Schizosaccharomyces pombe: one gene and its partners. The gene in region 1 interacts genetically with each later gene. Each region holds a gene or a part of one and is shown in the gene's direction. Other genes may lie near its edges.

Region 1 (7,755 bases):
TATCGTTATAGCCAGACACTCCATGGGAATGTACCTAATAATGCAGTAAATGAACATTTAAACAACATTTTTGCTTCTATTTATAAAAATGGTTTTGATTAAAATGCAAACAAATTTGCTTTCCGTGGTCTTACGTAGATTATAATACTAAACAAAATCTCCGTGATACATAAATATATACATTTCGAGGTTATCTAAATATACTGTTTATACTTATAATTAATGCAATGCAAATGATACTGCAATCTAACGTGTCACTAAAAAAAACCGGCAATGACAGTAGCCGAGTTTAGGCTTTGCAAACGCTCGTTTACGTTAACTAAGTTTAGGAAATATTAAACGATTCCCCAATTTTTAAAGAAATGTAAATTTCTTTTTCAGTTGAATAAGTAGCTGTATCTATTCAGAGGCGATGTTCTTATAAGTATAGATGGAAAAGTCTTCCATAAAGAAGGTCATGGCAGAAAAACTTGAAAGTGTTCGAAGGAGCGATTTGTGGTACTGTTGCTTGTTGCTACGGTGTTTTGTATTTACAGATGAATGAAAGTATATATCAATATAGATTCATAAATGTGAAATCGTTTTTTTGAAAAATTCTGACAAATTTTTTTTTATAGTATATATTCAATCTTATTCATTTCTAGTGTATGTAATCCACTTTAAATATCATCAATGATTTTGAGTGTTATTATTCATCGGCGTCAAATTATGTTCGCATCATTAATTTTTCCTGTATACATAAATTTCATCATACGTTCAAATTAATCGTTTAAAAAGACTCATTATCCAATAGCTTTATTATCGTTTCGCTTTACAAAACACGCAAAGCCGTTTTCGCCGTAGATGTAGCACTTGCAGGATTGGAACCAGTAACTAATCTTCCATCTGCTATTACAAAATCACCGAATGGGTTTGGTGACTTGATAAAGTTGGCTCCTGCATCATTCAACATATCGTCCAAAACCTCCAAGTTGTATTTTTTCAGCGCTTCCATAAGTTTGGATTTATCCTCGGCCACCCTATCGAAGGCGGTAACATCTTTACCACAGACAATTGAAACAGAGCCGTCGGACGTTTGACGCTTCATGAATGGAAGTAATGTAGGACCATGGCACACGGCAGCTACTACTCCCCCATTTTCATAAATGGAAGTACCAAGTTTTTGCAAATTTGTAGCTTTTGGAAAATCAAATAGAGTGGCATGTCCTCCTGCTACGAAGAAAATGTCATACTTGTCAGGATTCACTTCGTCGGCGGTTTTGGAATTTTGCACAATCCTCCAAAACATATCATCCTTATTTTCCAAAACATATTTTTCAGCTTTGGATAGCTCAGGGCCACTTGCGATGTGATCATCATAGCTCAAAAACTCTTCACCCTTAGATCCCTTGTCAATTGCCGGACCTGCTACTGAATGATCATCGAATTGGATTTTCCCTGATTCAGTAACAATGTCAACATTGAAACAAGCATCTCTAAATACCAAATAAGGATGTAACAATTCTAAAAAAAATGCTCCAGTATTCTCACCATCTTTATAAAATGGTCCATAATAATCAGAGCAAGCAATTAAGACATTTCTAGTTTTAGCAGGCATTTTTGAGTTAAAAATAGTTTGTATAGTGCTTTACAATGTATAACTCCTTGAAGACAGAAAGAGTTCGATGAAATTGTTTGGATTTTCGGTGAAGACCATCCTTTTATGTCTTTTTTTTGGACTCTAAATATTAGTATTTCTTCGATAAATTTTCGTTTATCGGTTTTTTACGTAAACATTAAGTAAAGTGCAACGTCCACTGATTAATTATTTCCATGTCAGTTACAGAAATTTTCTCCTTAGACGGCATAGCTCTTTTCATTGCCTATTGGTATTCTAGATGCAGCAAGTTCATATAGCTAACGACTTATTTTTTGCTAATTCACCCCTAAACTTGTAATGTGGCTACGAAATGCATTTTGCATCTGGTTTGTTCGAAATTCCGTATGACAGCAGGAGCAATGCGTAGCCAAGTATTAGTGATGAAAAAGGCCAGGGTCTCGTACACTGAGCAAATAAATTCCTCGTACAATAGCAGGTTTGCGTATTCACATGTTTACATTCTAAAAGTCGAATAATAGACGAACAAAATATGTCTGAAGCACTGTTATAATCACACAACGAAAGAAAAAGAGATGTCGGGTAATTTCTGGTTCACCGGCTGAATCAATAATTCGTTAACTTTCTTTAACAAATGTGTATTCGACATGAATTTTTCTAAAAATCAAAAAAATGAACTAACTACCACTTCCTGCTAAATTTTTAATAAAAGGATGGTGAGTTGTAACGAAAACCACAATATACTATAAACCACTGCTGTATATGTTTTGTTGGCACTAAAGCAAACGATGGTTTCTTTTTGCCTTGGTAGATCAGGAGTTGTAATCTAGAAAATTACGAATAAAAATATTCGTTGAAAAAAAATTCCTAGGATGTTATGACTTTATTCTTCGATAGAGTCGCAAATGTCTATACTACAATGAATGCGACCTGCAGTAGAAAGGGAATAACGAATTGGGGAGCAGCTAGCTATTTAGGAGAAATGATTATGAGAAGTAAGCTTATATTGAGTACAATTTGTTTATTAAGAGCTTAAATGATTAAAATGACAATTTCCCATTCATACAGTTCTGTAGTCATGATACTGTGCACACATGAACAGTTTTCTTTACTTAGTAGTGGAGTATTGATAAAGCAATGCCAACTGAATACCCAATTTCCATGAATAAAGTTTTCCTTAAAAACAAAAAATTCAGATCAATTAATCATTTTCATTCCTTTCTTTCCATTGAAAATCTCCAAACTCATATATACGTATAGTAATTAGAAATGATAATTTATCTCTTCATATAATTAATAAATTTACCCTATATATAATGTAACTTTTTTCTGTGTACCACAAGCTTCTGTAGCTCAGTCGGTGGTAGCATCCCTCTCATATAATGACAGGGGAAGGTCGTGAGTTCGAGCCTCACCAGGAGCATTCTTTTTTGCCCTTTACTTTTAAGAAAGTGAGGATTGCTGCGCTAATGTTGTTCAGTATAAGTTGCATTATAACGTGCTATTTACTTGATCTATCCCCATACTGTGGGAATTGTTCGTACTCGTTTCAAAGTTATTACCAAATAAAGTATTACTTTACCATCCTCCTAATCAAATTATTGTTTATCATTTAACCACTTTGCATTTTTTGTTGCTTCTAGTTCAATCACTTGTTGTTGCACTCTCTTATAGAAATTTGACGCAGCGTCGCAGAACTTATCATTTATTCAGTTACAAAAAAGTGCAAGCGTCCAATTTCTCATTTTTTGGTCTGCAGTTTGTTTCTTTAATGCTATCAACTCTTAGCCTTGTTCAATTGTTAAGAGTGCTCTTGAATTGAAAATTTCTATTAACTTATCCATTGGATTCAGTGAAACGACGGCACTAAGTCTTGGACTCAATTGTAATTAAAACTACCATTTTCGCTTGTTAGGATTACTTTTCCTTGCAAATTTTTTCTTCTACGTTTTCACTATACTTCGCTTTTGTTCGTCATGTCGCTTTTGTCTGGCGACCAACGAATTATTTGCTTGGAAATTCCTTTGCAAGGCAAAGAAAACGTACATATTAATTTTGCAAAAGAAGTGGAAAAACTTTATGGACCCTCTGTTCAGGAGAATTCAAAAAAAAATGATCTTTCAGACTCAGCGGATTCTGAGGGCGAAAGTACACATGTTGATGAGCAACAAGCAGCTAATGGGGCGGCCGATGGTACACAGACCATAAAGAAAAAGAAAAGGAAAAGGAGGTACGCTGACGAATACTACGATAGAACAGATCCCTTTATTGATGATGCTGAGCTCTACATTGAAGAGAAGGCTGCCGCTACCAAAGATGGATTTTTTGTATTTAGCGGTCCACTCGTGGCCGAAGGAGATACTGTGAAAATCGAAAGATCAAAGAAGACTAAGAAAAAGAAGAAAACATCTTTATCCAATGCTACACACCCTGCGCCAGCTGTCTCTGCGGTGGTGGCTTCAGCGGATGCTAGCTTTGACGATAGTAGGGATATTGAATCTGAGGACGAGCAGCCATTAAGGACTTTGTCCATTGAAATGGCTGCTAAGAATGCTTTAAAAGAGGCAAAACGGGAAAATGCAAAGGTTCCCAAGGATGTCTCTAAGAAGGAAGCAAAAACAACGAAAAGCAAAGAGAAAGCCACAAAAAAGACATCCTCTTCAGTGCCCAAACAAAGTACGGGAGAAAATACCAAAAAGGCTGTTAAACTTGAGACACCTCTTACATCTACACCCCCTATACCACCTCTCTCTGAACCAAAGCATTCTCCCGCTACTGTTAATGAGCACATTTCTCCTCCAAGTGCTTTAACTAATCCTTCTACGGAGGAACTCAAACCTTCGACCTCCCTACCTATTGATCAGGGCAATGCTTCTGTCGTTTCGAAACCTACTCAACAAGTAAGCATCGTTCTTTCTCAGAATGCATCCTTACCCGTTGATGAACATCAAGCTGAACCAGAGAAATCAATTCCAACTAGTAGCATCCCATAATTATACATATGTAGTGACCTGAAGATCTGTCAATCGATTTCTGTATATTATTTTTATATCATATTTTTTTCGTTAATAAAAAGCAATTATCATCACACCGCATTGATTATCTATTTCTTTTTTAAGGCAGAATTTTGTTTCAGTGTTACTGTTTGTATGAGTAAATTTATGTATTCATTCATAATCAAATGACAAAAAAAGCTATTTAAACCCAAACCTCCTTGTTAACCATTAAATCCCAACAGACCAGTATAATTTTTGAACAAATTTAAAGTTAAGCGTCTATTTTTTCTTGGATGGCTTCTTCTTTTTTGGTGCCTTCCCCTTCTTAGACTTTTTACTTTCTCTACGTTTTTTCAAATTTTCTTCTCTACGTTGCTGCCGCATTAACATTGCTTTTTTTTCGTTGTCCTTCCTTTCCTTCCAAGCGTCTGAAGACTTTTTCTTTTCCTTTTCTTTGCGACGAATGCTCTTTTTAAGCAATTGCTCGTTATCTTTGAGTTTTTTCCCTTCTGCCTGAAGCAAAACTCTATGCCATTTATCACTTTCTTCAATTTTTCTCCTTTTCTCTTCGTCCATGCTTTCAATACGGCGTTTCTTGGCTTCCAAATGCTTTAGAGCGCCAAAGACATCAGTAGGACCTCGCTTTTTTCCGGCAACTTTTAGTTTACCATTCGAGAATTTGTCATCTCCGACTATTAAAGTACCATAAGTAATAGTGCTCTTGTGGTTGTCATTTTCCTCGTCAGCAATGTTATCAGAAGAGTTCCCAGTGTCATAAGCTGCCACTTTTGATTCCTGTTTAGCCTTTGACTCCTTTTTAGCTAACTTCTTCGCTTCAGCACGAGCTTTTGCCTTTTCTTTTCTGCGCTGTAAAAGTAGAGCACGGTCTACTTTTTCAGTAGCTTTTCTTTGAGAGCGAAATGTCTGAATCTTTTCAGCAAGCTTTGCTCGTAAGTCATTTTTTCCTTCAGTTGTTTCCATTACAGACCGATGATAAAGGAGGAATCACAAATAATGGAGAAAGAGGATGAAAATACACAATCAGAATTGGGTTAATAAACAAAATCCGATACAACCCGATAAAAATAGAAAAGGGATGTTAAAATTTCTTAAACGAAAAAAACTTTTGAATTGATGATTGATAATAAATAAAATGAAGCCTAATTACCCACGAACAAAAAAAGAGAAACCCGATAATATGGAGTTTGCGAATCCAAAAACAATTGCTTTGAAAGAAAACTTAATAAAAGGGAAAAAAAGCTAAAGTAATACAAAGATTCAATGGCTATTCAAGATTGAAAGAACGCCTTTTTGTAATAAAGACATGTACTTGTAGTGTGGAAAAGACTGAAAGAAAACCTCTATTTCGAAATTTAACGTAATACGTTATTGTATTTACCAAAAGTTTACGCGCCGTTATTATTGTTTAATGAAAAGGTGCATACCGTTAAGCGAGATAATGGGTAGGGTAATTTGTATTTAGTCCGCGCAGAAAGCCACAATATTGGAAAGAGTAAATAGTCTATTTCCGCGTTTATGAGTTTCTCTATTTTGTAAAAAAAAACATTTATGAAAATAATTTTCTATGTTTTTCGTTATGACTTTGATTCCACAGTCATACTGGAAAGGCTAAAGACGATGTAAACAAATACCTGAACCAAATGTATTTGGAAGGGATGCGATGATACGCAAGCATTGAGTGTTTTAAGAATATCCCTTATCCAAGAGGAACAAGATTGTTTTCAGTTGTTGGATTTTATCAAGAAGCAGCCTCGCATAATATAAAGACGGATGTTGGGTTCTGAAGAAAACGGCAATTCCGTTTTTAAAATCCCCATAAGCATGTAGGGCAGCATATAGGCCGAAATTAAACAAAAAAGAGGAACTTATGATGATAGAGGTCTTCTTATTTTGGTGAAAATGTACAATTTCGTTTTTCCTACGGAATGGAATTGAATTGCATTGTCGCAGTCGCTGTCTTGAACCTCATCCCTAGATACTTGCGAATTGAAATATTTATAAGAATGCGAAAATGATTTGAGCGTGTTTTTGTTCCATAATAAAATAGGAGTATTTTCAAATGACTCTTATGAAGGTTCGTAGGAAAAAAACCGTTAAAAAAAATAAACATAGTAAAAATACCAACTATCTATCCAGCACTATTCCAATTCTATCACACCCAGCGCGCATTCTCTTTCTTTCCCCAACTGGAAAATTCAAGTGCATAGAGTGTTGTTTTCCATGGACAGCATATAGGGACATTGGCCTAGTGAAGCTGGAAAAGTAATGCATCCACGCAGCATTTTTTTTTTTTTACATTTAATCAAAATTGCTTCTTTGACCTTCTATGCTGCTTTATTGCTAGGATGGACCGATGTGAGCTCAAGTTCTATACAATGTGAGCTCCACTACAGCTACTTGCATTAGGACCCCTATCTTATCAAAATCTGGTAACTTAGTGTGGTACTGTAAAGATGGGTTATGTGAAGACATATTTTATAATGGTATGCAGTTATATAATTATAAGCTGTATGGTAAAAAATGTGCCTTTGGGAAAATATTTATATTAAAGAGGTATCTCTAACCTTTTTAACATAATATTTTACAGCAAATGCTTTTTTGTTAACATTAGAGTCCAGACTAGATAGATGGTATGGGCGATGCTGAGGCTGTCAACAATAATGAAAATTTCGGCCTCGTACTGAATTTGCTGTTTACAAATAACTAGACTGGGATGAAATAGCAGCTCTGAAAGCACTAACACCGAGGTTTACGAAAAATATAACTAGGAAAAAGTGTTAGACATCGTCTGTGATTAATTTCCTTCTTATAACAATGAAAGAAAATGATCATTTGAACAGCGTCTCATCCTCCGAAATAGAGAAGTGCGATGAAGACGTTGAGGAGGAATTATACTCCTATCCTGACAGCGATTTTCTTGTAACATTCAATGGCGAAGACGATCCTGAGAAACCGTTGAATTGGCCAGTTTCAATTAAACTATTGAATACAGCACTTTATGGATTGACAACATTTGCTGCACAGTTCAATAGTACTACCATGTCACCTACTACTTCTCATCTCGTCAATGCATATCCAATTGGTCATGAGGTTGCCGTTTTACCCACTTGTTTATACATTTTGGGGATCGCATTTGGTCCT
Region 2 (3,796 bases), on another chromosome or scaffold:
TCGTTATCATATGCAGCAACAATACCCATTCGTAGATGTTTTGACTCTGCATACGCTCCTTTGGGTTCAAACCAAGTCATATCGTTGGTATATACCCCATTCAAGACAACCGCATCTACCGCAATCCATTTCTTCTCACTTTGATCATAGATTTCCGTCCAAAAAATAGGATAGCGGAGGTCGTCATCTATAGATGTACTAGTTTCTTCAGGGAGGATATGTGGAGACCAATCATCATAGGAAGCAGTAGAAAATGTCAAAGGTTGAAGAGAAAATATAAGTCTTGCTTTCAGATTCAGAGATCGACAGAGAGCAGTAAATCCCTGTGCCGCCAAATCCCGGCTTCCTTTTAGCGAAAGTAAGGATGCTTGGTATTCATGAAAGTTATGAAATATTTCTGGCGAAAAGCCGATATCAAATCCTTGTTTCAAAGTACGATACCCCAACTTCCGAAGCCCATGACTCTCAATTTTAAAAGATTTATTCCACCACATCCGAAGCCCATTTAACAATTTTAACAAATCCTCGTGCGTCTGGCTACTACAAACCCACGCCTCCACTACGGACGGTTGCTTTTCGACAAGCAAATCGCGCAGCCCATCAAGAAGTAAGGAATTCATTAACCAGCGATTCCTTACTGACCCATGGTACAACAAGCAAGTAAAGTGCATAATGTGAATAGATAATCGAATGCTTTTATCCATTGCACTAGAAGAGCCTTTCTTCGATTCTTTTGTAAGTTGAGGAGTGATATGCTGTGTGACTATGTGTAAATCTTTTTTATCTTCTTGTTTATTAGGAGAAAGATCAACTTGTTCCCAAGTGTCAAAATCGTCGTCAAACTCGTCATCTTCTGAGCTGCCTAACTTCTCATTGTCTTCATCGGAACCTTTTTCGGATGAAGATGCGCTCCTTTGAAGTGAGTTTAACGCTGATATATTGTCATCTAAACTCTCAGAAGGAGGTTCCGCTGAGGAAGACAAACTTGGCTTTTTCGACTGGCTACGAGTTTGACGGTGAGTTGAAGATACAACAGTTTCCTCTTTCACTTCAGGATTAAGAGGTAAGTTATTGGTCCGTGTCCTACGTTTCCTTCCGCGAACAGAGTTCTTGGATGCTTTGCGTTTGGGTGGCATTGAGCAAAGAGTTTATGTGAATTGAATCAACTTTAGGATAATGCTTGTTTAACCGCTGGTTCAAATAATATCAATAACGATAAATTGAATAAAAAGTTGTAATCACAGCCACATCTGATATATTCTTAGTTAAAGAATTATTATTTCAAGCAATCTCTCCAACAAGAAAGCAAAATTCTAACAATGGCTGTGATGATGATTATTAAAAAGTCCTTTGAAAAAGAGGTCAGTATCAACTGCGCAAGAATGGCGAGTAGTTTGTTTGCTGAATATTATGAGCTATATTAACTACTTTTGATTTCAACCGTGAAATAAAGATTTAAAAAATTTAAATCTGAAACATAACATGAAAATAAATTATTAAATAAAAAGTTAAACCACATGCATCACTATTAATAAGAGACAATAAACATAAGTCAAAAAAAACTTCAGCCGTTAAATTTTAAGGAAATAATTCATTAATTAGTAAAACGTCAAACGAAACTGTTTAAATTTATGTCACTGATCGAGCTTATATTTCCTAAAAATAGGAATTTTAAATCGACGACTGATTTTGCACAGCAGTAGTAGTGGTAAAGTTGAAACCATCAATAACACCAATACTTAGGAACATCAACCTGCGAAAGCAAATTCTTTTTTTTTTCTTTTTTATTGCACACTTGTTTACGTACCGGATTTAAAAAGTTATCTTAATAAAAAACTTTTTATCCTTCATTGTTGCAATTGAAGTCGATAATAGCAAGCTCGACCTAGCTAATTAAAAAGCCTTTGCTACTCTAATTAATACGTAAGGTTTGAATCCTGAAACGGAGAAGTGCCCTAATTTCGTTCATTAGTATACGAATATCGGAATTTACCTTTCAGGTCCATGGTTTGTTTCATTTCTAATTCGGCGTTGTTTTATACTCAAAAAGTACACCTGAATTTCAAAACATTGCTTAAAAATCTTTTCAATGGGAAAGTTAATCCGTCGTACATCGCTGACTTCTAAAATAATCAATCTTCCGATCGATTACTTTATCTATGTTTGCGAACAATTTGACAGTGTAGAGTGGGATAAAGTATCAGATCGTTATTCGATTCCCTTTAGCTTGGCTGTCAATTTTATTTTTCTCTTAATGCGCATTTATATAAAAAGTACGCATGTACCAGTTCAACGCAACCAGCTCTTTGTGGATAAGCAGTCCATCAACACCTCTAGGTCCTGGTTTCGTGCCTTCCTATCATTTCTCTCAATTTGTTTTCTTTTCATCAGCTTTCTCAATTTCATATTTAGCACTCGATTTCAAAATAAGCTGTATAGAACTTTGCCTCAAGACAAACGCACGACGACTTCTACTCCCAATGTAAAACCAGTTTTCCAGCACTCAAATAATGATGATGGCGATGAACAAGTTTTTGAATTGAAAGTATGGAGCCCAAATCAATTTTTACTAAATTTTGCTTGCTTATTTTCTCCTGCTCATGCCTTGATTTTATGGTTTTATAGCACTTCTCTACGCGTGACTTTGTTGACTTTTCTCCTTTCGTTTACAACATTGCATTTTGTCAATAAATTTTCCTTACTGCTGAAAGATCAACAATATCTTCATCGCCAGGTATTCTTTGAGTATGATAAGAAATTTGTAGAACCTCGACTTTCGGTAGTTAAACGAGATGTTGCCATTAATACTACTCGTGGTCCCACAACCGCATCTATTGAATATTTCACACCCCGAAAACCCATAGATACCTTCCTTGAACACCGAAGTTCTTCACATGATCATCTCACTTCAACACCCCGTACCCCTATAGCGCTTCAAAGAAGAAGTGTTCATCATCTTCATGACAGCGGAATTAGTCGTGACAGCAGCTCACCATTTAAGAGATTTCCACATCTTAGTGATGGTAGTTCTCGCTTTTAATATTTGTCTGAATTACATGGTTTTTGAATGACCCACTGCATTTCCATTTATCATTGTTGTTTCTGTTAATTCCTATTTTCGAAAAGTTTTAAGTCATAACTCAATTCAGACCTGAAATAATTGTATTCATGAAGACTAATTAGGGTATCAAACACCGTCATTCTAAAAACTTTCGATGATCGACTTAGAACCAAATCCTTATAATTTAAGCTTATTCAATATGATCTCTTATTAAAATCCTTACATGATTATAAATATGAATACTCTTGTTTGTTAGAAAATATATTTAAAAGTGATAATGTGCATCAATTTTGTATCTAAACTAATATGTAAAAATCGAAGCAAAATTTCTAAAAGGAAAATAAATTATATTAAACGTGCAAACCGATTAACTAAAATGATTTTTAGAAAAAACTCAGCTTTGTAAAAAAGGCAATTGTTATTTCTAACAAAAGACGCACAACAAAACAATTCGTTTCCGTGCAGCAAGTAGAAAATTACAAAAATTTTATCAATAAGGTCATAAATGAGAAAAATGAGAAAGTCCCAAAGAGATAGTTGAACAAGGTCAAGCAGTTTTAGGTTATAGCAGCCATAAAAATGGGAAGAGCTATTATGTAGATTTCATTCACAAGCAAATAGTGCGAACAATTATTCAACAAATTTGACGGATGAAGGAAAATAAATGAGAGTGAACAAACATAGAATAAGGCCAGCTTTAATTTCAAGTCAAAATTAATTTTCCTCTTCAGCTTG
Region 3 (3,020 bases), on another chromosome or scaffold:
CGTATATTGACGAAGCACGCGCGCTACGTATCTTCAGCGTAAACAAAAGTGTGCGGTTTTCACAGAAAAATAAAGTAAAATCTAACCCTTCCTTTCGCATTTTGCATTCAATAAAAATACATACCTTAAACCGTTTATCTTGCAAAACGCGTTTTATAGCGGCTTTGCTGTCTGATTCAATTAAATGAACCTGCATGACCACGCCAAAGCTTCCAGAGCCCACAACTTTACTCGAAGTGTAAGAAAGTTGCTTCACCTCTCCCGTTGACCCATCACGAGCGGTTTCCTTTATAATACGAAAGGGGTCCACAGGAACTATTTATACGGTTAGAACAACAGCACTATCGAAGTTAGCCAACTTACTTTTAGTACCATGATTCATTATGGATGATGATACAGAAATGTTAAATTACAAAATGAAAAAAAAGCTATCAGAGGACTTAAAAAGGAGGTTTTCTTGGCGTGATGAACGTGGAGTACGGGTTGTGGTAGTGGAGGAAGTTCTACCATAGAATAATCTCTGGGGTATAGTAGCATGATACAAAGTGCGTACTTCTAAGAGGTAACATTACGGGACATGAGCAAATCATAAAACTGTAAACTCTCGGCGCAAGTATCAAAGAAAAGAGGGTTCATTCTTTCCTCTTATTTATTACAATAACCATAAAAAAGTACGTATATTAATGAAAAATTCGTGCTTGAGAAATTGAATTCATGGTTATTAACCATCTTACGTATACGCGATTATCACATTGTGAGTTTTAATTCCTCCAGTCCGTTATATTGAATAGTGTTACCGAATTTAGAGTGATATACTTTGAAACTGCTAGAGCAAACACTGAATTCGATGTGGATTTTAGAAAAGAAAAACATATTTTTTAAAATAATTCACATAAAATCTAGTAGGAAGTTTGACTTTTCAAATGCCATCAGAATTGTGCTCCTACCTTTCAGTAGCAACTGCTGTCGCAATTCATATACAGTAAATAATGGAACATTCACAGGGAGACAAATTTATACTAGCATATGCAAATCGCGTATCCCTCCCTGTCTCAAAGGAAAAAATGGAAAAACTACGAAATCAGAGAGCGAACCAATGTCTCAGAAGCATCTCAAATATGTTAAAAAATACATAAACAAAGTAAGAATCCTTAAAAAATGAATGTGTATAAATAATGTCAAACATTCATATATAATATATAACACGAGTATTAGTATGCCACACCGCTAAAGGAGATTATGCTTGATAGCCTACATCATTAAAGCCATTTTGCAAGTCGATCTATTAACTCATCAAAAATCTTGTATTACGTGTTTTGTTATTTAAATATTGCGCACAACCTTAGCTTCGGTCAATTTATTATATTAGCTAATAACGCCTTAGTAGGTTGGCTTGGCACGTAAATAAAGTCAATTGAACACATTTTATACATAAATTTTGAGATTTCCAACTGTCTCTTCAATATCCTTGTTGATTTGGCAGTTTTAGAAAAAAAAATTCAGCTTAACGTTTTTATACCATATATTCATTAAGGTCAAGTTTCGTCCACTTTATCGCACCACGAAATTTCCATTTGTACCACCTTCAAATTGCATCAAATAGCCTGATTACTTAGTATTTAAACGCAGTTATTCCACTTTTGATTGTCTATCTGTTCATATTATTCCTCCTTGTCTTTTCGTTTGGATTTTTAACTCACTTCTAGTCTTTTTTTGATAACTGTTGAACAAATTATATCTCTTCTAGCCATCGGACGCTGATTTTCATTCCTTTCTTTTTTTTTACTGTTATTTCGTTCATTTTAGCATTTTTGGCACTATCTCATTTGTTTGCATTTGCGTTTCCTTGTTGAATAGTTTTTTAGTTTAGGGGAACCATGTCTGTCAGTACTAAACGTCTTGAAATGGATGAAGAAGCAGAAGAGGCTTTTGATCTTTTTGACGTGACACACAAAGGGTACATTGACTTTGAAGACCTTCGAAGATCTTGCGCTCAACTAGGGGAAAATTTGACTAAAGAACAGCTTCAGTTGATGCTCGATTTAGCTGGCACTAATGGTAAAGTATCGCGTGAAGAATTTGCCGAATTGTGGATTCATATATCTTGAGATTGTTTATCAATGGAGACAAACTTCATTTTATTTATGGGATTCATTCTCGCACTTTAATGACTTAATGATGATGGACTTAGTGTACTAAAAAAGATTAAACAATATTTCCTCGTGTTTTCTTTTTGTTTTCAAGCCATAGATGCCTGTTTTATATACTTGGTTGTAGGTTACAATTGATGCTAAAGATAAGTGTCACAGCCTGCTTGAACAACAATACTAGAATCTACATTCTTTCGTAAACCTTGATTTATTGATTTTTAGCATCTTCGTGTGTCTCTTTCATGATATATGTTACAAGGGATTGGCGATTGTGTAAATTCAGTGAATAGGATTTCAATGAACTAATACTATATTGTCTGTTTTCATTCATAGTAAAACAAGTTCTCAAAGATACCAGTTACCAAGCAAAATATATTGTCTTTTCGAAATTCAATAAACATACATTTTACAGGCTAGAATTCATGTTTTAAAATGCTTTTAATCAACTAATATGCTTAAGTAAATAAACGAAATTTTTATCTAAAAATATGTCTTTATAGCGAGTTTTACTTGTACTCGAAAAGTTCTCCAACATTTTTTCGTCACATACCACAAATGATTCATTTTCTGTATTTAATGACTACAATTACAAAATTGCAATGAATAATCAACTCGAAAATGTTTTTAGATTTGATGAAGAAAAAGAGAGGGCTAAAATTCGTGAATCGCCGTGGAAACATGAGTAAGTTAAGATTTCATTGGTTTTTAGCTATATTATACCAGTCTCTGAATTTTTTTCCCTACGTTAATTTATTAAAATTATAAATCCTGTAATGCTAACAATAACAGCCCAGAGTTTTTCCGTTCTGTCAAAATCTCAGCAGTAGCTTTGTTGAAAATGTTACGGCATGTATCTCAAGGCATGCCATT

Evidence for each region. Genes that interact genetically often act in the same process or in processes that back each other up.
Region 2: mutations in hip4 (region 1) and nur1 together harm fitness more than expected from each alone (negative genetic interaction), as found in Schizosaccharomyces pombe (2 studies listed by BioGRID).
Region 3: mutations in hip4 (region 1) and SPOM_SPAC1687.14C together harm fitness more than expected from each alone (negative genetic interaction), as found in Schizosaccharomyces pombe (2 studies listed by BioGRID).

Annotation. Positions count from the first base shown.
Region 1 is NC_003423.3:655,512-663,266, forward strand, and holds hip4 (histone H3.3-H4 chaperone, HIR complex subunit Hip4), read left to right. Parts: upstream 1-3,113; 5' UTR 3,114-3,573; coding exon 3,574-4,590; 3' UTR 4,591-4,720; downstream 4,721-7,755. Other genes in the region: hsp3103 (ThiJ domain protein, glyoxylase III), read right to left, coding at 812-1,597; rrp1402 (ribosome biogenesis protein Rrp14-C), read right to left, coding at 4,873-5,574; SPOM_SPBC947.06C (spermidine family transporter), read left to right, coding at 7,429-7,755. UniProt on the Schizosaccharomyces pombe protein: Component of the HIR complex, which functions as a histone chaperone that cooperates with cia1/asf1 to promote replication-independent chromatin assembly.
Region 2 is NC_003421.2:449,709-453,504, reverse strand, and holds nur1 (protein nur1), read left to right. Parts: upstream 1-1,741; 5' UTR 1,742-2,089; coding exon 2,090-3,040; 3' UTR 3,041-3,296; downstream 3,297-3,796. Other genes in the region: DNA repair protein Rhp42, read right to left, coding at 1-1,136; SPOM_SPCC4G3.12C (ubiquitin-protein ligase E3), read right to left, coding at 3,776-3,796. UniProt on the Schizosaccharomyces pombe protein: Has a role in meiosis.
Region 3 is NC_003424.3:927,301-930,320, reverse strand, and holds SPOM_SPAC1687.14C (calcium-binding protein), read left to right. Parts: upstream 1-1,650; 5' UTR 1,651-1,877; coding exon 1,878-2,108; 3' UTR 2,109-2,520; downstream 2,521-3,020. Other genes in the region: serine/threonine protein kinase Gsk3, read right to left, coding at 125-315, 364-382; SPOM_SPAC1687.23C (uncharacterized protein), read left to right, coding at 848-1,162; COP9/signalosome complex protease subunit Csn5, read left to right, coding at 2,750-2,832, 2,940-3,020.